Drosophila melanogaster: one gene and its partners. The protein of the gene in region 4 interacts with the protein of the main gene of each other region in a pairwise test. Each region holds a gene or a part of one and is shown on either strand. Other genes may lie near its edges.

The links.
Region 1: the proteins of Stacl (region 4) and sisA interact in a two-hybrid assay, tested with the Drosophila melanogaster proteins (one large-scale study listed by BioGRID).
Region 2: the proteins of Stacl (region 4) and Coa7 interact in a two-hybrid assay, tested with the Drosophila melanogaster proteins (one large-scale study listed by BioGRID).
Region 3: the proteins of Stacl (region 4) and Tmf interact in a two-hybrid assay, tested with the Drosophila melanogaster proteins (one large-scale study listed by BioGRID).

Annotation. Positions count from the first base shown.
Region 1 is NC_004354.4:11,320,149-11,324,387, forward strand, and holds sisA (sisterless A), read right to left. Parts: upstream 2,210-4,239; 5' UTR 2,143-2,209; coding exon 1,573-2,142; 3' UTR 1,431-1,572; downstream 1-1,430. UniProt on the Drosophila melanogaster protein: Involved in sex determination and dosage compensation. Required for proper expression of Sxl in embryonic somatic cells. Also has an essential function in the yolk nuclei. Involved in endoderm migration and midgut formation.
Region 2 is NC_004354.4:23,011,403-23,018,036, reverse strand, and holds Coa7 (cytochrome c oxidase assembly factor 7), read right to left. Parts: upstream 4,543-6,634; 5' UTR 4,456-4,542; coding exon 4,356-4,455; intron 4,219-4,355; coding exon 3,929-4,218; coding exon of another isoform or gene 3,878-3,928; exon of another isoform or gene 3,771-3,877; intron 3,585-3,770; coding exon 3,174-3,584; 3' UTR 1,451-3,173; downstream 1-1,450. Other genes in the region: Rab21, read left to right, coding at 4,931-4,994, 5,056-5,660. UniProt on the Drosophila melanogaster protein: Required for locomotion. Probably involved in the regulation of formation/maintenance of motor neurons at presynaptic terminals at the neuromuscular junction.
Region 3 is NC_004354.4:6,842,395-6,849,326, forward strand, and holds Tmf (TATA element modulatory factor), read left to right. Parts: upstream 1-1,946; 5' UTR 1,947-2,212; coding exon 2,213-2,780; intron 2,781-2,848; coding exon 2,849-4,358; intron 4,359-4,434; coding exon 4,435-4,711; intron 4,712-4,775; coding exon 4,776-5,003; intron 5,004-5,062; coding exon 5,063-5,281; 3' UTR 5,282-5,453; downstream 5,454-6,932. Other genes in the region: CG14435 (uncharacterized protein), read right to left, coding at 128-652; Cht11 (chitinase 11), read right to left, coding at 5,714-6,092, 6,158-6,932.
Region 4 is NT_033778.4:15,398,619-15,404,963, reverse strand, and holds the start of Stacl (Stac-like), read right to left. Parts: upstream 3,869-6,345; 5' UTR 2,581-3,868; intron 269-2,580; exon of another isoform or gene 1-268.

The DNA of each region.
Region 1 (4,239 bases), on a different chromosome or scaffold from region 4:
TAGCATCTGGATGGCCTTCATCACTCCCGGTTTTCTTTTCATTTCTGAAATTCTTCGACTGCATTCAACACAAACGAGCTGAGCTTTTATGGCCGAGCGATAAAATCAAATTGAAGTTCTTTTCCGGCACTTTACAAGAGGGAGTGAAAGAGAGAGCGTTGTGCGGGAAGAAAGAGATGGGTGAAGTGGGTGCAAAGTTTCAACCATTTAGTATTATGACAAACAGTGGTGGACAGCACATTAATAACTGTACTCAAATATTGAAAATTATTTCAAAAGTTTTCCGTATTTTAAAGTAGAAAAGTCTTTTTTTTAATTTCATTTAATATACATATATTTGTAGCTCATAATATCGCCTTTAGGTAACAAAATTAATGCTGTACCACAGTTAGGTACACGAAGTACCTTTCCCCGCACTGATGACGTTGAATCGCTGAATTGTGTGCACTTGAGTGAACGAATAAGAGTGAGACGTGCGTAGTTAAGAAGCAGCAACAGAAAGTTGGAAAATCCAGGGAAATGGGGGGATAGTGGGGATTTAGCCGGAGGAAAACTGCAGCGATGAAATCATTTGTAACCTGGCACGTGAAAATGAAATTTTTGAGCGAGCATCAGCTTGAAATTCGATTGGCCATTGTGGCGAAATGCGTTTTATACTCTCGTTTTTACATTCCTATTATTTGCTCCTCCATTCATTCTTAATGTTGTGCTATTAAAAAATATCTGTGAACAGTAGTAACGACTAACTGATACCTAAAGAGTTGAAAAGATACGGCGTGAAATAGAATAACTTTTTGGGGTAAAAAACAATCAGAAGTATCTATATTTATCCTTCTCATTACGCAGACATCAAGATATTATGAGAAATTACTTAAAAAATATATGTAGTTATTAAAATTATATTGTATATATATATACATAGTATATACCCTTGGCAAGCATTTAGTAAAGCTTCCAAGTTCAGTTCGCAGTTCTTAAATGAAAACACCAACCAGAAAGTGGGGTGCTATTTGCAGTAGTAGCCCCACTAAATTTAGCCACAATCTCTTACAGAAACCTGCTCTTAAGGCCATTACTTCCATTGCATTTGCTGCTTTTGGCAACGCAAATTGTTCGCAAGCCAAAAAAAAAAAGGGAAAAAAAGAATGGAAAGGGGGAAAAACGTGAAACGGGGAAAGCGAAGTGCAATCATGTCGGATCAAATGAACTGAACTTAAGCAAGTCGAAATGGGTGCATTGCATTGGCCCAATTCCGATGGGATTACCTTCGGCCAGGCGAAGGAAACCCCAAGACTGCCGATGCGTTAAATGCAGAATAAATGCATCCAAATTATGGGAAATTCTTGTAAAGTGAAATTAACAAGTTATCCTTGACTCCATATGATCGTGTGAACCTATAACAAATATTTGAATAAGAAAGCATTCGTTTTCAATATGATTCTTAATTTTATTTAAAAATTTAATAATATGCTTAGATAAATACTAGATATAGTCAACAAAAAAAAAAAGTGGTATGGCTAATGCTGGACTAGTCAGGGATCCGTTCCTGCGACACATAGCTACACTATGATATCACTGCTCCATTTCCAGGCCGAAAGTGGCCCGCATCCGCTCGAGTGTGGCGGCGGGATATCCCCGCTCGAGCAGCTGCCTCTCCGCCTGGGCAATCACATCCCGCATCGTGTCCAACATGACGGCGCTCTTCTTCAGCTGCCCGCTGACGAATTTGTGCCGGAAGCGCAGCTTGGCCTTCTTGATCTTGTTGTTGTAGCGGGATTTGCGGCACGACTCGGCCCTCTGACGCTGGGCATCCTTGACATCCGAACCAGAACCGGAACCTGATCCGGAACCCGATCCGCGGCAATCCATAGCAAGCTCCGTTTTCAGCGGCGGCGGTGCACGGCGCTCCACAACAATGGGATTCTCCAGGAGCATCTGGTCTACGTAGCGTTGCTCCTCGTCGGCGTAGTGCATTTTGAGATGATGCAGCTGCTGGGACACCAGCTCCTCGATCTGCTCCGGCTTCGATGATGTTGACGATGCTGTCGATAGTGCGGGTGAACTGCTTCCGCGATACGGTGCGTATACGTGACCCATGGCCGCGTAGCTCAGAGTGGGCAAGTAAAGATGACTCCGTTCCATGGTGATTTTTTTCGATGTGTGACGTGGTCTGTGACTGCTCTCGTCGAGATTTCGTGTGCTAATGCTGCCTTAGGCAATATGTCAGCCCCGTTTTATACCATTTCCGCAGGTAGCTTGCCATTGGACACTGGATGGGTTATTCGCGGGTTCTACCTTCATGAATGGCGGTCACTGGGATTTATGATCTTGTTTTCCTCAATCTTGTCGCCTTGCTGGACACCGCCTACCTGCATCCGGATTGGCCAACGAATCGCAGATATGTAAACAAAGGGATTAGGGTAGCAGACGCACTGAGTCTACCTGATAATTGGTCAAATTTAAAAACAAAAGGATCAGGTGCGAACCAATATGTGGGTTTCTTCAATGGCTACCTACATACATATGTATGTCGGTATGCAAATACTCCCCATAATATAAAAGATATTCTAAGCCAAGAGATACGATTCAATGCAACTGATAAGGGCGTCATTAAATCCACAATAATCCCAAGGTCAAGCTGGGCTGTTCGTCTATCACCATCCATTTGCCGATTCGCGCCTTATCTAGCAGCCGAAATGAGTCAACAAATGTTGGGCTATGTGGAAAATCAACCTGCTTGGGCAAATACGAGCATGTCAAGCGGGTGGGATCAGGCGGCATTATGCGATAAGAGACACCAATATCGATTGCCATTGCTACCTGCTAAAGTTGCTATTTGTCCATTCCGGATCAACCCATCTGGAAGTGGGTTTCCCGCATCAGGTAGCCATTTCAAGGAGCCACTTTCGACGTGGTGGCAAACAAGTTGCGGCTTGTTGTCGTGGGATTAACCAGCCGAACCGACCGCATTTAGTCTATTAATTAATTTAACAGCCCTCGAAACGATGAGGGGTTCAGCGACCTGCTTAGCAGGCCTCAAAGGGTTAAACCAGAAATCCCTTTGGCTGAGAATAATATGTAATAGAGTTTGGTGGACCAAACTCAAAATCCATAAATAGTTGCTATCTCTGGCTGATGTAATGTAATATTTAACTAGCAATATTATAGAACAATATGACGCAAGCAGCAACTTATGCTAATTAAATAACCAATTAATTGTTGAACAAAAAGCAGTAAAATGTTATAACACTGCAAGTACCCAAAATATACTTTCCACTTGCTCCATTTTCATGTATTTCAATTTACAACGCTGCACATGTGTGCCACTCGAATTACATAACTGGCATAAATAACTCCGCTGGGTAATTGGCAAAACAATTGAGTATTTTTAGTGACCGAAAGCAGTTTTAATTCGAAATCCCCCATTTCAGCCAGATGGGGGCAAGCTGTCAGCGGCAGACGGGCAATAATTTTTCCATTTTTCGCATTTTACCATTTTCCATTCGGCATTAACCATTTGCCATGTGAACAATAAAATCGACAGCGCCGCGTTTGTTTGGCAAATGAGAAAATATGCAGACAAGTATAATTAAAAAACCATTTATAATCATTTTCGACCAAATCCCAATTGGCCACCCAAAACCAAACCAAACCCCGCAGGAACACTTGAAGCCTGACAGTTTTCAGCTTGAGAATAAGTTGGGAATGCCGATGGCCGGAATACTCTAGCTGAATTGGATGACTCAAGGAAATATGTATATACTCTTATTTCTATATACTCAAATGTTGAACTAGGGCTTCCATTTTCGGACAATAAAGAAACACTATACCCTTAGAAAGAGTACTGAAAATCGAGGAGCAAGGCGACGATAAATGGACGCACATGAAGGAGACTCCGCCACATCCCCGAAAACGACATTGAGTTTGAATTATGTCAGCGCAGCAATAAATTGTCCAAGGCATTAAATTAAAATATATGTATGTATAGTATATATCGTTTAAAGAAAAGCTGTGAAATCATTAGAAGGACGTACGTAAATTGCATATTTTACTACAGAAATTTTCACAACTCACATATTGAGATGGCTAGATTATAAAAAAAGGAATATATTTAAGTTAATATTCAAAACTCCACTTCGACATATGTAGGAAATTTAATTTATTAAATGCTTTTAAACATTTTCATAAATTATAATCTTTATTTATTTGATTAAACTACAAGTTAATTTCTATCTTTTC
Region 2 (6,634 bases), on a different chromosome or scaffold from region 4:
AAGTCCTGGCACCGTTATTAAGGAATTTTGCTCCATGGATCCTTGACCAGACCCCAAAGATCATCGTTATTATTGGGTTTGGCTTCAGAAACCTTTTTTTTCACGTCCGCCCAAAGGTTTTCGATTGGATTCAAGTCGGGTGACTGAGCAGGCCAGTTCATTCCTCGGATCGATTTCTGCTCTAACCACTTTCGAGCTTTCTTGCTCGTGTGTTTTGAGTTGTTATCCTGTTGAAATGTCCAAACCAACGGCATTTCATCCCTTCCATATGGCAGCATCACATTTTCCAGGATATCTGTGTAAATGTGCTGATCCATGATGCTTTGAATCTAATGGATCGGACCTACTCCATAGTATGAAAAGCACGCCCATACCATTATGTTTGATCCCCCGTACTTTACCGCCTTAAAGGTGAAGCGAGGATTATATTCAGTTTGTGGTGGACGCCGAACATAAGACCAAGAGCCTTTTCCACCGAACAACACAATTTTGGTCTCATCTGACCACAAAATGTTGTGCCACTTCTCCACAACCCAGTCCTTGGGAATCTTGGCATATTCGGTTCGCTTTGCCACATGCTTAACAGTCAAAAGCGGGACTTTTCTTGGGCTGCACGCATTAAGGTTGTTTTGTCCTAAGCGTTTGCGAACAGTTTCCACGCTTTCAGCTATCTGAAGCTCCTTCTTGAGTTCCGTCGCCGGCTTAAAAGGCTCCTTCTTGCCTTGCCGAACCAAGCGCTTGATCTCCACGTTGGACATTGAGGGCTTTCTTCGCCGTGTTTCGTTCTTTTCGACAAACAGCAGTGCTTTGCGGATCATTTTACTTGAACAACCGACAATGCGACCAATTTCAGCGTATTTTTTACCTTCAGAGATCAAGTTTTTAATCAAATTTCTTTTTTCGACGGTACAATGCTTTCCGCGACCCATAACTAGAGAATTTTTGGACTTCGTTTGGAAAAAAATCAATAAAAACCTTTAATACAACTCATTTTTTCAAAATTTGTCGAAAAAAAACCCAAAGCAATCACTCCTATTAATTTTATTCAGTAAATACGTGGTCAGTGCTATTTTTGTTACCGCCTCATTTCGCGCACTTTAGCAGCAAGTGCCCAAAAACAAAAAGAACCGTTACATTGAGAGACTAAAAATTTCTTGTTCAGAGAGCCAACATATGGTACTTATTATTCATGCAAACTTACTTTAAAAAATATAAACATTTAATAATTTTTTTTAGGAAATGAACTTTCCACCTGCAGTAGTGCTATTATTTTAACCGCAGCTGTATGTGAATGCAAATATGTACATACATACATATGAAAGAATATTGTGAGATAGAGCGGGAAGGAGCTATTATCATTTATTGTAACTAAACAGCAACTAATTGGACAAGAGAGTTTTTAATAAAGCGTCTATTTCTTGAAATGACAGTAGGTCAAGCTGACAATGAACACAGAGAAAGTGTTGCACAAACAGACTGTATATAGATACAGTCCGTTCAGAACCATTTACATGCATACTTAAATTCCTTACAACAAGATTACACAATTATCATATTAATTTTTTAATGATTCGTATGAATATTTTACAATTTGATAATATTTGTAAGAATTTGTAAAGTTCTATCATAATGGCACTAAAAGGCCTTCGTACCAGGGATATTTTAGTACTTGCACACAGTTTGAGTCTGTGAGGTCCCATAAAGTTCATCACAGCCACATTTTTGCGAAGTGTTGCCTATTCCTTTGGCGGGGACGCCTGTGTCAATACTTTTGTTACAATTTTTTTTAATATGCTTAAAATATTATTGTTTTCCGTTAACAAAATCTTGCCCATTTCTCGAAAACAAATCATGACAATTACATTTAACCAATGTTTCTTTAATAGACAAATAATTGGGTATTATTGTACTTATTGTTTTAGAATTTTTGGCTACCAGGAAAAATAAATTTTTACCACCTTGCTAGAAGCTGTTTTTGTTTAACATAAAAATTTTAAAAAAGGCATTTAAGGTGTTTGATTGGTTGGTAGTAATACCAGAATACCTCATACTTTGAGCAGTAATGGTTCTAAAAGGAAATAGCTATTGTTATGCTTAAATAGTTTATGGCCTCTGACATTAACCGAACGCTACAAACCGTTTTGGTATAGTATCCCAATGAAATTTGAAAAGAAAATCGAATATTTTATACACATATTTTAATAAATTGTTTGAAGAACATTTGTTTTAAACTTTAACTTAAGTTACCTTAATAATTTGAAATTCGGATTTCTCGTGCGACTATTACCATGGCAGCTATGTATATGATAAGTAGACCAATTTTCATTTAGGTCCAGCCAAAAGCAGATATAGCAATTTCGATCCAGTTCCAGCCGAAATTTAATATACTGTATAAACCAAAAATAACTTTTTGATCAAAAACCCCGAAGGTTTCGACTATTTCTCTCAGCTACATATCTACATATATGATTCCATTCCGACTTATATTCTAGCTGCAAATTTAAAATATTTTGGGAATGTTTTATAAAGACATCTTTACGCCTGAAAGACTTGTATGTGTAGAAACGCAATAGTTTTTTAGACTTGTGGACGAAGCAGAATCACATTATTTTTCCTTTTACATTCTTTAGAACGAATGTAGTGCACATCTTCATGAGAAGGTATTCGAGGAAAGGACATGCAGATATTACAAGACGATTAATTACGTTATAATGTGCTAGATTTAAAAAAAAAATGAGGCTGTCGGATTAGCAGGCGATTCTGATCAGAAAAATGTACTGGTTCTTACATTAATATTAGAACAACAGTTTGTGCACAAGCAACCGTAACTAAAACACAATTAACTGAAGATTTTTGTCTACTTTTTTGGTAAGACTTGTTTGTATATTCATATAAGGTATCAACAAAATTTTTAAAGGGTTCATCATCACTTAATAACTTTAACAATTAAATCTAGGAATTTCCATTGTTACTTATTTTCTCTTTCTCGCTCTTTCGCATGCAAGTGCCAGCTATGTACACAGAAATCTCAAACACAAGTTAGTTAGCTTAACTACCAAAATTAGACTGACTGAAAATTACTGAAAAGGGCTAGAAGGTAAAGAAAAACCTGACCTGACCTGAAGCAAGGTCTAAAAACAGTAGCAGCAGATAATATCAGGAATCAAGCATTATCAATTAGGCATGCCCACGCCCTGCTGGAACCCTAACGTATCATGCTGCTTCTTCACCTCGTCCTGCATTTCTAGGGCCAGCTTCTTGTACTTCTCCGCTTCCTTTTCGTTCTTCTCGATCCCATCGCCCCGGGCGTACATCTGGCTAAGATTGGCACACGCATACATATTGCGAAGCTCGCAAGCCTTGTGGGCAAACTGGAAAGCCTTCTTCATGTCTTTTAGAACAATATAGTCGGAGTCCTTTAAAGGCGGTTGTCCGGCGGGGGGTGATGATGTACCACTTCCGGAGGATGCAGTGACAGCACTCTGATCCGCCTTCTTTTGCACGCCCGAGATGTGCATCCCGGAGAGATAAAAGCAGGCAGTGGCGTTGTTCAAGTCGCAGCTTTTGGTCAGAAACTCCAGGCCCTGCGGGTGTTGTAAAATTATAATGTCAAATCACAAAATCAAATAAAATTTAAACACTTTTCTGCTGGGGTCATATTGAACAGTTTTAAATTGGATCAAACTAAACTATATTCATACATATGTCTATACATCCATTGGAACATAATCAGAAAATTACAATTAAACGTTCAATTATCTGGACACGATACGAATGACTTATGATTTCAAGGATCAAATGAGAAACAGGTGGGGCAAATGAGAGAATGTACTGCAGCACATAGTTGCACTTTAAGCAAATTGAACAGTTCCAAGAGCTAGCCTTTTATTGAAGGCTTGGGACCGTGATCGCCATACGACACCTTTACCTTGGGCACATTCCAGTCGATCTCCCTAGGCATGGACTTTGAAACGAGCAGCAGGCCGGAGTGAAGACAGGCGTCCGAGTCGTTTAAGTTACAGCCCTTCTCGTAGTACTCGTAGGCCACTTGTGGATTCCCCTTGCTACCGCTCTTGCCTTTTCCAAGGAAACTGTAGTTGCCGTATTTGTAGCAGGACTTTGCGTAACCATAGTCGTCGCAAGTCGACTTGTACACCTTGGAGGCCTTTTCAAAGTCTTTCTTGATGCCCTCCAAGTAGTCGCCCAGCAAGTGGCACGCTGCAATGCAGAACGCCAGTTAGCTATCTCATAAATGCAATGTCTTCAAGCCCCGCGAATTGTCCTCCCGCACATCGGAGGTTATAGACCTCAATTGTTTTTGCCGCCGTCGCTATCGCTGCCGCCGCCGCACTCACCTTCCGGCTTCTTCTCGGAATAGCACCCGAATCGATATTCCACGCCCAGCTTTTCTACGTACTCCTTCACGTCTGACTCCTTCTTCAAGTCATAGGCCATGGTCAGCAATTTTTAATAGATAACAACCAAAAATTATTATGTTATGCTTCGTCCGGACCCCTGCGTGCTTCAGTGTTAGTAACGTGCAAAATATCGATTCATCGACACCATACTGCATACATTCGATGGTTTTATTGATATCGATGTTAGGCTATGCATCGATATTTTGCTCATAATTAAAACATGGTTTAATTTAAAATCGCTTAATTGTATTTTCTATCTTTCATGTATGACTGCGGCGACATTGAGTTCTCGGCCTTGCTTGAGGCCGCAGTGTGGCCAGATACGTATGTGACTTCTCGCTTATTCAACATTTATCGCCGAGTGCCATTACAATAGTGCTGGTAGACAGCCACACTGGCGGTCTCGTAAAAACCTAATCTTTTCGATTACCTCTTGTTTTTTTTTTGTTTTTCCGTGTCCTCTGAAAACTGATGCGTATCAAGGTAGGACACCTAGCTATTGGGAAACCACAATGAGCTCGAGCAGAACGAGGAACGGCCCCACGCTTAATTTCAAGGCGGTGCTGCTGGGCGAAGGTACGTTTAGCAGCTAAACAAACCTAATTAGTTCCTGAAAGCTTTAACCCCTTAATTGTAGGTTGTGTGGGCAAGACGTCGCTGGTGCTGCGCTACATGGAAGACCGGTTCAATGCCCAGCACCTAAGCACCCTGCAGGCTTCCTTTGTCAGCCGCAAGATGTCCCTGGAGGATGGGAGAAGGGCGCAGTTGAATATTTGGGACACGGCTGGTCAGGAGCGGTTCCACGCCCTGGGACCCATCTACTATCGCGGCTCCGATGGCGCCCTGCTCGTCTATGACATAACGGACCGAGACTCGTTCCAGAAGGTCAAATCCTGGGTGCGGGAGCTCCGGCAAATGCGCGGCACGGAGATTGCCTTAATAATCGTCGGCAACAAGACTGATTTGGAGGAACAGCGAGCAGTAACGCACGATGAGGCCCTTCAATATGCGCGCACGGTTGGCGCTCAATATGTAGAAACTTCGGCCAAGGAGAACGAGGGGGTGGCTGAGCTCTTCGAGCTCCTGACCCAGCTGATGCTGGAGCAGTTGAGCCAACGGCAACCGGATGCGAGTCCACTTCGCCTCCAGAATCCGGATACGGATAACCTTAACAACTCCGATGACTCGGAGGCCCCGGATCCCGGAGATCCTGCGGGCCAGCGGTCCTGTTGCGGCATTTAGCCGTTCCCATTGTGATAGTAATCATAACTATAAAATAGTAGACCTTTAACCGATGTTGATCTTGTGTATATATTATACATAGATAGATATAAATATAAATACGCGTATTTTTATTATTCCCTATTATGGATCTTTAAAATCCTCACACATTTTTGTTTATTAATAAATATAAATATGTATTTCATTCGATTTTCTTGCCCTTCCTGAGCGCCCAGTAATAAACAATCTTGTACTTGCACTTATCTTGTTTTGAGGCTTTTTGGGGGCCGGGCTGAATCATCGTTATCAGTTGAGGTGCTAATGGCTCTGCAAGGCGATAGGTGATTAATTTTAAACCGCACCAAGATTACAGTTTACGGCACTTTAAATATATGGTGCAATAGAAGACAATACATAAAGTTTTTATATATTTTTTCATAATTTTATGTAACGATCATATCATCGCAACAGCTTCTCCTATTAATGAAATTAATTGAAATCCAATTTCAAAACTGTTTTCGGCTACAATTAGTTACATATATAAGTATTCTAGTTTTATTTTGTTATAACAAAAAGTGAACGAACATATATGTATGTATTTACCCATTTAAGAATATATCCAATCTATAATATTCGGGCTATGTATGTACATATATGATAGTCTTCCATTTTATAACCGTTACTCGTGGTGTATATACTAGATATACTATATACTAGATTCGTTGAAAAGTATGTAACAGAACAGAACAACAGGCTGAAAGAAGCGTTTTCGACTATATGAGGTATATACATATATTCTTAATCAGAATCAATAGCTGAGGCGATCTAGACATGTCCGTCTGTCCTAGAGATATACATAGATGCCTCGCGAGATTGTTGGCCATATGCTGCCAAGCCCACTCTAACGCCCACAAGCCTCCCAAAACTGCTACGCCCACACTTTTGAAAAATGTTTTGATTTTTCTTGGTTTTATTGTTTGTTTTACCAATTTCTG
Region 3 (6,932 bases), on a different chromosome or scaffold from region 4:
TCAAGGAGTAACCCGCTGACCTTCGGTATATCCGAATACCAATGGTATTCCCGCGTTTTTTAACTTATTCAAAACTGGCCCTGCTCCGAGTTGTAATCCCCTCCAGAATGCCCGCAACCCGACTCACCCTTATGGAATCGCCGAGAGTGCGTCTCTGCTGCATGTAGGACTGCATGGCGGATCCATTGTTGTTCCCGGCGGCTGTGAAGTTGCTGTTGCTATTGGCATTCGCATTACCGGACACGGATACGGTGACACCGACGGCCGGATGGCCGTGCGCGGCATGCGGATGCGAATGCGGACTGCTGCCGGACGAGGTGATCGATCCCTGTTGCTGCTGCTGCTGCGCCTGCTGCTGTATATCCGGCACGGAGCTGAGACTCCGCGCCCGCTGGCGATCGATGGACGTGGAGTTTTGGTTGTGGTACACCTGCAGGCCGGGCAAAGTGCGCAGCAGATTGAAACCCTGACCGGTGGTATCATTGCCGCCACCGCCGCCGCCGTTACCGCCACGATTCTGGCCGGGATTCGAGTGCTGGTGTTGCTGCTGCTGCAGCGCAGAATCGGCGGCTCCTGTTGAACTGCTCGAGAATGTCCTGGAGCGTGGGCTCTGTTGGCCACTGGTCGCCGGAGTGCTCGCCTTTTGACCCATAGATGCTGATGGAATTATTAACTGGGCGACGAACCTTTGACCACCTGCGCCTGCTCCAGCTGCTGCTCCTGCTGCTGCTCCAGCAGCGCCTTCTGCAATTCTCCGCCTCCGCGAGGCGTCCTCTTTGTCTGCTCCTTCGCGTGCGAAAAACGGAGCAGACAACAATAGCAAACAATGCGATGTGCGATTTGCGATGTGCGGATGATAAATGCGGTCGCTTTTTTGTCGCTCGCTTGATAAGTGTATGTGTGTGCGTGCTTGTGTGTGTGTGTGCGAGTGTGTGTGTGTGTGAGTGTGTTTTGGTGTTTGTGCCAAAAGTGATGGTGCTCGTGGAGTGGATGGGGGGCGGGGGTGGGAGTAGGTGGCAAGGACGGGGGGCGGGCGTCAATCGGTGCGTAGTTGAGTCGCGATTGTTATTGTTGCTGCCCCGTTTTCTTGTCCTCCGCCTGCTGATTCCGGGGACTCAGATGTTTCAGATGTTTCAGATGCTCAGGTGTTCAGTTGCTCTGGTTCTCCGGTATATTTGGAACTCGAGTCGGCTCTGCGGTCGCCGGATGATGACTCCCGATGACAACCGATGACTGATGGATGATGGGCACTAGCTGCTCCTGCGCCTGCTACTACTTGCTACTTGCCACTTGCAACGGGCTCCTGCTGCCTAATCCTATGGAATCGGATCCAAACGCTACGCGGTGCACTACTGCTGCTCTCGCCGACTAAAAAATAGGTGTGACGCGACACGACGCTGCTGGCCAATCTGCCTTGATTACACTCTCAATTTAAATGACCGTTTTCCATATTTTTTTTTAATTTTTTTTTATACATTACATTAAAAGAGTTTCTCGATATCAACAGAGGCGTTAGTCCAATTGGGAGGGCCAATCGATTGTCGACGGGTATTCTAATAAGAATGGTGTCGGTATTGTGTAGGCACCTAGCTGAGACATGAACCTAGATGGGGTATTCTTCATTTGCGCATTTATAAAATATAAATTTTAAAGTATCATTTTAATATTTTTGTTTCACCTACATGAGGTATTCGCTTTTTTCTTTCTCAAATTTATCAAATTCTTTTGCATCGATTCAATGTTAAGTTAGTATGTACTGAAACTGCACAAAACTAAAAAATTATAATTTCTAATATTAGCTAGATTTTGTGTGTTACTTAGTTCACAATGGTTTGATTGGAAATCAATTAAAAAACAAATAGTAGAATATATATGTTTAAAAAATGCATTTTCATTGCACCGTGTGCTCACTGTAGTGCACGACCGGTGGTCACACAGCTGGCCTATCGATAGCCGACTATAGTTATCGGGGCTGAGTTGAGTTGTTGAAAACACAATTCCAATTGGCCATTAAATAGTCAAATCCGCAGCTTCCCAAAACATCAGGGACTTGCATGTGCCTCCCAAGGAGCAGGAGATTGCAGCAGGAGCAGCCGGAGCAGCAGGAGTGCGATCTGGACTAGGACTCAATTCGCCCAAGCTACTGCGGCGACGTCAACAGCAATATTGATACAGTGGCACTTGGGGCTGCGTTTCCACATCCGCACCGAAGATGAGCTGGTTCGAAAAGGCCAAAACGGTGCTAATTGAGGCGCTGGACATCCAGGATGACGACAGCAAGGCGGCGGAGAAGGACTCGCCGATGGCAGGAGCTGCGAGCGATGGTGGCGCATCGCCTGGGAACAATGCAACGGCGGAGACACCTGGATCCGCTGCCACGCCCGCTTCGGATACGCCAACATTCTTTGACAATCCGCATGCCAACGAAATGGTGACCATTCCACCCACACCCACATCGGTGCCAGGAAGTGCCGCCTACGGCAAACGGCAGTCAGCCACCTCGGATTCGGTGGATCTGCTGTCCTCCCCAACCTCGCCCATCTCGCCCTGCGGCGGCGATGTCCCCTCGGTGGCCAAGCGCTTGTCTGAATCCTCGCTAGAACTCATAACGGCCACCACGGCCAGCGAAGTGGAGATGTCACCGGACACGGAGCCCTCCTTGCCCGACAGCATTGTGATAATCGCCAGCAATGACACATCCGACAATGCCGAGGGTGATGGCGAGGATGATGACGATGAGGGCACCCAGCTGAAGCGCCACATGGAGGACCACTTGAATGGTATTGGGCCTTGTCGCAATTCTCTTTTTTGTATCGTTTGCTAACTGTGTAAACCTTTCCCTCTGCAGACTCCACCAAAACCATGAAGGCTCTGGTCCTGAGCGACATCCAGGTAGCCGGTAATGCTGACTCCGATTCCACGCAGAGCTTCGAGGACATCCAGCTGCAGATGAGCCACAAGGGCAAGTCGCCCGCTCCGGCCAAGACGGGAACGGTGGACCAGAGCTACTCGTCCACCTCATCGGACATCGAGATCATCTCAAATCCGAATGGCGACTCCAGCACCAACAGCACCACCACGCGCACCAGCCCGCAAAAATTCAAGGAGCTCGCGGGCGGCAAGGTGTGCCTAAAGGCCAAGGGACATCATCGCGAGCCCTCGGAGATCTCGCTGCTGTCGGAGGACTCACAGTCGGAGCTGGATAAGCTGGTGCAACGCATCAGCGAGCTGAACCAGGTGATTGAGGCGCGGGAGCAGCGACTATTGCAATCAGAGCGCCAGAATGCCGAGCTCCTCGAGCGCAACCAGGAGTTGCGCGCTCGCGTCGAAGCGGCAGCCAATAGCGCCAACAGTCCGGATGCGGCGGATGCAGTGCAGCGTCTGTCGGCGCTGGAGAAGAAGTTCCAGGCCAGCATACGCGAGCGCGATGCCCTGCGCATCCAAATGAAGAGTCTGCGCGATGAGCTGCAGAACAAGATACCCAGGGATGAGCTAGCCGAATGCAACGAAATGATCGCCGCCCTGCAGTCCGAGGGTGAGAAGCTGTCCAAGGAGATCCTGCAGCAGTCGACGATCATCAAGAAACTGCGCGCCAAGGAGAAGACCTCGGACACGTTGCTGAAGAAGAACGGCGAGCAGATCTCGTTGCTGTCCAGCGAATCGGAGCGCCTCAAGAGATCCCTAGCCGCCAAGGAGGAAATGGAGCGCACGCAAATCGAGGCAGTTTGCCGGATGACGGCGGAGAAGAAGCGCGTGGATGAGGAGAACGCCGAGAGCCGCAGTCGCATCGAAGATCTTCAGTCCAGACTAGCTGCCCTGCAAGCCAGTTTCGACGGCCTAAAGGGAGATCTGCAGAAGCGCACGCGCCTGGAGCAGGACAGTCTGCGTGCCGAGCATCAGGAGTACGTGCAGCAGGTCTCCGATCTGCGCGAGAAACTGCGCCTGGCCGAGCACAGCCTGGCCAGAAGGGAGCAGCAAATGCGCGAGGAGAACCGCCAGCTAATGCGTCGCCTGGAAGCCGCCGAGCTGCGGGCGGAGAGCTCTACTCAAGAGCTGGGTGCCACTACCACGCCGTTGATACGACAGATCGAGTCGCTGCAGCGTACACTGGACCAGCGATCCGCTGCCTGGAACCGCGAGGAGCAGCAGCTCCTCCAGAAACTGGACGACTCACAGGTGCAACTGCGCTCGCTGCAGCAATTGGAATCCGTACAGGGCGAGAAGCAGGAGCTGCTGCGCACCCGTTGCGGCCTGCTGGAGGAGAAGCTGTCCAGTGCGCTAATGGAGGCGGAGGCCGCCAAGATGGCACTGCGTCAGCACGATCTGGAAGCGGCCAACAAGGAAAACGATCACAAAAAGTGCGTGCCATTAAACCTTGTATTGATTTACCCATTTTTAATATCTACCCATGCAAATATATTTCTAAACTAACAGACAATTGAGCCTGCTGCAGGAGGAGATTCAGCAGCAGCAGGAGAGGATTGCGAGTCTGGAGCAATTGTGCCAGCGGCAAAAGGAAGAGGAGGAGCAGCGGAAACAGCCCACGCTGCTGACAGTGAAGGCGGTCAAGGCTAGCAGTGAGTTGCAGCCACAGCTGCAAATGCAGCTGCCGAAATCCCAGGCACCACTGCGCTCCTCACCGCCCCTCAGTTTGGTGGACGACAGTGGTTCCAACGAGGAGGCCCTGGGCGGCATGATCGACTGGCAGGCGGTAATGTCGCCTAATCTTTCAAATGAAGAACCTTCTTAAGTTTCTAATTCACTTTCAAATTCAGGACGACCTCGATTGCGCTTCCAACTCGGGTCGCCAGCAATCGGGCATCATCCAAGGTGTACACCTGAGCTTTCTGGCGGCCAACACAACGACCTTTGAGCACCTGCAGGCTCTGCTCAAGCAGCGCGACGGGGAGCTGACCCACCTGCAGTGGGAAGTGTCGCGCCTGCAAGCAGAGCGAAGCGTTCTCGACGCCGAGATATCCAATCTGACCATCGAGCTGGAAACGGTAGGAGAATAGCCCATCTTGACAAGAGATAATAATGAATACTATTCGTCCAATGGTAGATGAAGGAGAAGCAGCAGATGTACGAGGTAATGGAGAAGGGATACGAGGATCTGCAGCATCGCTACGACGCCCTGCTCCAGATGTACGGCGAGAAGGTGGAGCGCACCGAGGAACTGGAGCTGGATCTGACCGAGCTGAAGGCGGCCTACAAGCTGCAGATCGACGAGCTGCTGGCCGCCCCGCCACCCAATCTGCAACGGCCGTCGAAGCAAACATGATTGCCGGAGCGCAGGATCGTCTCCCTGCCCGAGTTGCCATGTTTGCGACGGACGTGGCCACCGTAACGTTGCCCATCTCCGTCTCCCATTCCCAGTTGTAATGTATTATGCTTTCAATACTAATCGATACGGATCCGGTATGGGGAACCCACTTCCAAGTCCCAATCCACCCAAAACAACAAAAAAAAAACCAACACATGTACATGCGAGTATATATATTACCTATGATTTGCGTATGCTGACACCTTCTAGTTATATTATAAATTGATCGATTGTGATAATTTAATTTATATTTATATATACATAAAGTTATCGTCTATGACTATGTACAAAACTGTTTCTGTTCCGAGCAGTTTGCCAGGCGGTTGTGAAGCAGCCAGCAGAAGCAACAGCCTCTTCCAAATACATCAAATATCATTTAATACAAAGTAATCACAGGGACTCCCGCAGGATGTCCTTAATGGCCTGGGTTAGCGGAAATACAGGTTTCTCGCTGTATTTCAAGTTTGGCATAATGCTGCATGAGTTCTTGAGATCATCGGTGTTCAGCGAGAAGACCATGACGCCACCCAGATTGAGGGATTTCACATAGTTCGCCTTGCAGGCGATACTCGTTTGATTTTCGTACGATATCCACTCCTGCAGAGCGCTCAAATATGGCGAACAGCTCTCGGCATCGTAGGACAAGTTTGGCTTGAAGAACTTGGTGACACACTCACAAGTTTCGGTCAGTGTGGTGAAGCCCAGTTGGCCACATTTACCGTAACCGGAAGCAGGAGCTCCTATGCGATGATTTAAAGGATTAACCAACCTGTTTGGTGGGTGAGGAAGTATAATTAATGAGGGATTCATTCCATAATACATGCAGTTACTAACGTAAATGAGTGGCCGTAGGTGGGCAGACCCACAACCAGTCGCTGTGGCTCCAGACCGCTTTTTAGCCACCACTGAACCGTGTAATTGATGTTGAACGTGGCCATTAGCGAACGTTCCTGCGAGCGGGCATAAAGCGGAGCATTTAAGCCGGTAAATGGTGTATCCTCGCGGTAGAAGTGGAAATCATAGGACATTAGATTTACATAATCTGCGTACAGATTTATCTCTCGGATGTCGTAGGCATAGAAGGCGATTCCCTCGGGAGCAGCCACCGCCAGCGAGAGAATATCATTGGTACGCTTTTCGCGCCGCCACTCCGTTCTAATCTCGTAAAGCAGCTGCGAGAGATGCATTCGCTCACGATCGTAGGCACTCGGAAACTCCCAGTCGAGATCGATGCCATCCAAACTGGGATAGGTGCGCAATATTTCCCGGAGGGAGCGCAGGAACAACTTTCGCATGGCGTGGTTCGCCACCATGAGGGCAAATGACCGCCCACTGTCGGCGCCACCGATCCAGAGAAGCAGGTGAACCTGCGGATGGGCAGCACGAAAGGATCGGGTGTCGTTCTGTAGTACCTGTCTGAGGGTATCGGGAAGGACTATGGTGGCATTATCCAAAGTGGCGGGTCCGATATTGATGTGGGTGCACAGGTCGCCGGGAACATCCAAAAGGCTGAGATTGTGGGTGCCATCGCTTGCGTAGTAGCACACCAACCGCTGCCCCACCTTGTGCACTTCCCCAGTTTGGATGCCGAGTAATCCCAGGCCGATGA
Region 4 (6,345 bases):
TTGAGTAGACAATAAAACTGAAGGCCCACCAAGCAGATCACTCAAAATTGGTGCTTTGATAGTCGATGCGCGACTGCAGCCTCAGCCTACAAATTCGATTCGTCCTTTATTGAGCTGCCTTGTGATTGCCACACGTCACACGGCTCAAAGGACGTGCTGCCATTTCAGAGCTTCCTTTTTCCATTCTCCATCCTTCCTTCCTACTTTTTTTTTTTTTTGAAATGAACCAAAAGCCAAGCTGGAACTAAACCCACCTGACACATGTCGCGTGGCATACAAAGTGTCCAAAAATCATGGCACAAAAGGAGGGGACAATGTGCTCTTTGTTGGTCAGCAGGTGATTGCTTCCTGTGTGTGTGCTCCACCTCCCAGCATGGCGACATTGCGTATACGCCACGGGTGAGCGGGCAGTGTTTGATGGACAAAGCCGTCGTAAATCTAATTAAATTTCACACAGCTGCCCAAACATTGAAGCGGACACTTGTTGGCCCTCGAAATTTTGGGGAAAGTCCCGGAGTCAAATAGCAGCAGGACCGCACCGATAGCTATCGGGGGGTTTTCGCGCGGATAATGTTAAAATGACAGGCCATGTATAAATGCGAAAGCGTGGCGAAACATGTTGGTCGTTTTCTCAGTTTTTTAGCGTTTTTGTTTTCTTTTTTTATTTTTTGTATTTTGGCCATTCAGGAAGGTGGTCGTTGGACGTTATTAGCATGCCATCATCACCATTGCCGGCTGGGCCAGCAGTTCATGTAGAACGTGCTCAAGTGGGCACGGTCGCGTACCTCATTATTCCCCCCAAGGACCTCCTACTAACACCACTCTCCGTGGGGGCTTCCCCGTAAAATGTTTTCATTTGGGAATGGACCCGGTGTTTTCGGTGGTCTCGTTTTCGTGCAACTAAAGAAGAAATCAGAATCAGGTCAGCGACAGTAACGGCGGTACCAAAAACTTGAAAGTCACTTTAAGGCTGCCACACAAAGCCGAGAAGAGAGCAGATGAAATAAATGTTAAGGTCAACATGGAAGGAAACCGAGATATGCTGCCCGAGCGTAAAGGCGGGAGTCAAACCAACAAGTCTCGAAATATTCACTTTGTAATTGGATGCTGTCGTCTGCTGCCTGCTGCATACCTTTATAGCCCAGTCGACCCTCAACAAAACCATACCAACGAACACCCACCGCCAGCGGCCATAAAAAAGGAGCTCAGAATGAATGCACATGGGCTTGTGTATGTGTACACCGCGAGTAAAAGTGCTGGAATCGAAGTGGGGTCCTTCAAGTGAGAAAATCCAAAGCGATGCAAGACATATTACAGAGAAAAACATAAATACTCTCCATATAATATTCCTTTAAACCCCAAGGAGTTTCCAAATCTTAAATATTTTAAAGTTTACATTGTCTAACCTATCTTGCAGTGTACCGGAGCCCAGCACTCTTAAATCAATACTTTTATTGTGTAATTTAAATCATTCAGTTTTCACCCAGTGTATTCGTATCTGTGAGTCTCCGTTGTTCTTCAGCGTTGTTTTCTTTCTTCACATAAAGTCGGTTTGCCTCTGTCTGTGTGTGTTCAGCCATTTTTTGTAGCCCCAAAGTTGAAGCGAATTGTCGTGTTTGTTTTATAGTTATTGCTTTTGTTTCGCTTTCGCCCATCGCAGTGCTCTATTGCCCAGCTTTTCCTACAGCTTTCTCCTTTTTTTCCCTAGCACTTTCCATTTTTTTTTTCATCCTCCTGCGGAGGAGTGCGCTCTTCTTGTCCTTGCCCCTCCTCCAGCTTATGCACATTTAATCTTATGACAGCAAAAATGTTGTAAAATTGTTTATGGCACTTTGCGACATGGTCAGTATTTTTACAGTTTACAGTTTACTCCTTGGGATCTTTTCATTTCGTACACATATGTTCCGGAACTACAGGAGCATTTACATGTTGCTGCTGGGCGGGAATGGGATTTGACGGATGGAATCTCGTGACGAGTGGGATTACGTGGATAATGGATGGAGGAATTGGGCAGCCGTGCGCAGGACCTTTGCAAAAAGCGACGAACTTGCAGGAGTGAAGAAAGTCACCAATGACACTTTAATTTCTTAACTGCATAGCATTCTTTTAATCACATTTCTCAGCTGTAAGTAGTTGCACTTAATTAATGGATACAGATTTGGGAATTGTGAGGTGAGTAAACTTAAAAAGAATTTTAAATGCACTCTGCCAACACGAAATATATGCAATTAAGAAAATTGCTTTAAAAGTAGCCAAATGACCATTTTAGTTTGTAATGATTTTTGTCAAACTTTAACTTTGCTAAAGAAATTATTTAGTTTATTCAAAACTTGCAGTAGTTTCTTTCACTTTGGCAAAACTTAAGCTTCCACAGAAACCCAAATTCATTTTCAATCAAGTTTTCAAAGCTTAATCTCCTTTATTAGTTGATGGCAAAGCTCTTAGCAAAATAAAATCATTGACAAAACTTAGCATACCATTTAATAAACTTCTAAATCAGACTATCCTTCCAAGTGGTAGAAATGAAGTGCCACATTCATTATTTTTCATTCGTTCTACACTGCTGTGATTTCAACTTACCAATTTCGAGAAAATGTTGGCCTTATCTGTCGTCGACAACCTGTTGGCTGCTTTTTCCCATTCACTTAAACGCTTTTCCTCTGATTCCGAATCTTATCTCTATTGTTGCCGCAATAATCAGGCGAATTTCATAAAATTCACTTGGCAAACGATTTGGTTTTCGTGTCAAAGCTCTGTCCAGTTCAATTTGGTATATATTTTAATCGAAATATATTTGCCAAGCTGTCTACATTTTGCTATATACCCGCATTTATTTGTATACGTTCCTTGTGTGGCCAGCAGATGTTTGTTAGTCTCGTTTTTGTTGTCGTTTAAATCTAAAAATTATTATTAGTAATTTGTTGGTCTGCAGACAGCGTATATCCCTCTCTCTCTCTCTCTTCTCTTTCAGGGGCTTTTCTTCTTCTATCGTTTTTGGGTGAAAATTGAAATTGGCTTTCAGCGCCTAAGAATTTTTATCACGATAATTTATGATTGGAATATGCGTGGTCAGTTAGCACTAAGTAAGTACATATATAGTAGACTCTCTCTTGTTAATATGGTATAGTATAGCTATAGTTCTGTCGAAAAATATAGTGTATTCCCTCCTTGTTCCTCAGGCTTCTTGTGTGTTGTATTTTTTTTTTTTTTTTGTTGCGAATTTTGGTCAGGTTATCTCTTTGTGTTATTGGGCTTTTCGGGCACACTTAGTGACTTGTAGCTTGGGGAGCTCTCATTATGGTCACGTTGAAACCGTTGTGGCACTGGCCCAGGCACACTCCACGGCGGAACGGGTTCAAATTGCTTGATTGCATTAATTATTCAGTGCCAACGTCGACGTCGTTACATCTACATCAGCGGCAGCAGGCCGCGCGCATGCCAAAGTTTACTTATGTAAATGCGCCGCGGTAGTCAAATAAACACAGAAACAGAAACTTTTCAGAGTTACAAGTACACACGCGGAGTGGCGATAGTAAAAATTTAAAGCATACTTTTCAGGTGAGCTGCGCTTTGATTTGCATCCAAAAACACAGTTAGCGCGCACACACACGCACGCACCAGGACTTAGGTGGCCAACACGCACACACTCGGACAAACCGACCAAACGACCAACCGACCGACCGACTAACCGAAATAGAAAGTACTGTGCTGGATACTTGTTGTTTCAGCGGCACGAACACCTAACTACTGCCACACTTGTTACGGCCTGGAGTTCAGTTCAGCTCAGCTATTGTTCAGCTGTTTTGGCTAAGTCTTTATTTGTTTGCCGTGCTGCTCTTCCGGCCAACATCACGTCCAGCTAGCGACTGAACAGTGGTTCCAAACGAACGGCGGCGACAACACTGCGTATACGCAACGTCCACAAGTCGGCTGCTTTATTTTCGGAATAGCTTGATGCGGCTGCGTGGGCAAACGAAGAGAAAGCAACTGGGAATTCCAAAGAGCGGGCAGGTGCTCTTGGCCAGAAAAGAGCAGTTATGGGAAGGGAATCAAGCAAGTGGTTGGGCCCTAAGCAAAACAATTGCCATGGAAGTTAATCATTTGGTGCCGATGGCGGTGTGAATACGGAATTCTTTATATACTAATTAATTGCATTACTAATGTATTATTCGACCGGCTCATAATCGAATAATGGAACTTTTTGACGTGAAACAATTTGTTTGCACAGCCAAGTGACGCGATACCGTACACATTCAGGTCAAAGGTTAATTTTTGTCCCTATCTCCCGACACATGTGAGGCCATTAAATAGCAGGACCAGCAGCTTGGTAATGTGTTATTAGAGGGGAGATGCGGCAGGATGGTAGTTGCCACAACAGAGGACAATTAATGAAGCAATCCACGAAGCAATCTGTTGCACTTTTGCCACGGCAATGCACGTAATTAAGTGTAAATTAAAACCAAGTTAACAGGTTAGAGGGCGAACGGAATGCAACGAATGGTGAATGTTCTAAGCGGAATTTTATTGAAATAAAATACCTCATTGAAATCCTCTACCAACATATTTTAACTTATTACTATTATTACAACTTTACAACAATCAGGGAGGGCGCTATAGACGAGTTCTTCGACTACCACATACCCTCTACTTAGCAGGGGTGATGTAAATGTGAAAGAGATTGCAACTAATTAAGTATAGTTATTTTAAAAAATTAGGCTTTCTTTAAATCGCATTAGTGAAAGAAGCTGTTCTCGTCTAATAAACATGGCTAAAAATAGGATTACCCGTTTACCCATCTAAATAAACGGTCAGCTAGAGCCATCTTTATGCTTGATCGCATTACAGTGATTATAGAAGTTGTTTACCCCAACCGCTAACCGCTGAATAGCTCCAAGAATTTGTTAGCCAACCTGGTCCTGTTTGCTGCCCATGGAATCGGGTTTCGCGCGAAGGTAGCGCAAATAAAAGAAACAAGCTTAAGCTCCTTTCAAATACCGTTCAAAGTTAGCAGAAAATCGATGCAATCGAAGCAACAGCAACAACAGCAGCCAACACGAAAGGACATCCGATTCGCAGTGGGAGATTTCGAGGAAAAGGCGGTGGGACAGAGATTATCTCGGTTGGAAAGTGAGAAAAGTTTTTAATTAAAATTCACACGCAATATGTTGCGCATACGCAGCGTTGCTCCGCCACCATCTTACCACAAATTCCTTGCTCATTAGCGTTCAAATTGTGCGCATATCATGTAATTTAGATTAGATTGAAATTGAAAATGTTAAGCGAACCAAGTGGCTGTCTCCAGCCAGCCATCGGAATTTCCAAGAGGGTTGATTTTGATTGCGTGGTCGGGGGAATTATTGCGGCTTTGGCTAAGCTCCTGCTAGAGAGTCCAACTTATAAATATTAATAAAGCCAGCAGCGTGGATCCTTCGTCCTGCACGGGCACATTCGTCAAGTAAATGAAGTCGTCATGAATGAAGCGGCCAGCAATAGAAACAAAATAAATAACTTGTGTAAAAATTCCATCAGTAAATTGTGGTCCTGCTCTACTCTCAATTTTTCAAGAGGTCGACAAGACAAATGGCTGATCAGCTGGAAATGTTTACATTATCTAATCAAAAATTATTCTAAAACATAGTTTAAAATCTATTTTTATTTATTTGTTTATACTTCATTTAGTAAGTTAAATATAAAGAAAGCTTTCATTCAATGCAGCTTATATTGTGCGGAAATTTATACCACATTATATTTGAGTTACCTGAAATTGGCCTTAGATCTGCTAATTTATTTATTTTTGGGTACTACATGTGATTTCTCTGGTATTTTAGTGTTCGGCTTGAATTATATATTTTCTATCGATGCGTTACGCAGAAATGGCGAACTTGTTGCTGGTGGGACACGTTTTGAGGATGCCTCATTGAGAATGCGGTTGGCATTTGCCGCAGTATTCCCTCACACACGCATACGTGTAGCACCTTGGTCGTGGTGCCGTAACTGCTGGATGTCCTCAATTATTGCGACAACTTGTGATTGGAAACTTTGGTAGATTGCCATCGCAGGACTTGCCATCTGCACTTTGACCTATCAAGTGTGAACGAATCGGAACTGCTGTGCGAAGTTTTACGAAGTGTAATGATTGCACTTTCAGGCGGTAAATGAAATTTATCTACTTTGATGTGGCCACTTTGTCAACTTCGTAGCCACATAATTGAGTTTTAATTACGGGTCGACGGTCAGTGGAGACGCTGTCATTGTTATGCCACAGCGATGCACCTCTCAAGTGGCACGTATTGGACCCCGGAGAAGGTACCTCCATTAGCGCCACGTTAACGGTAATTGGTCGAG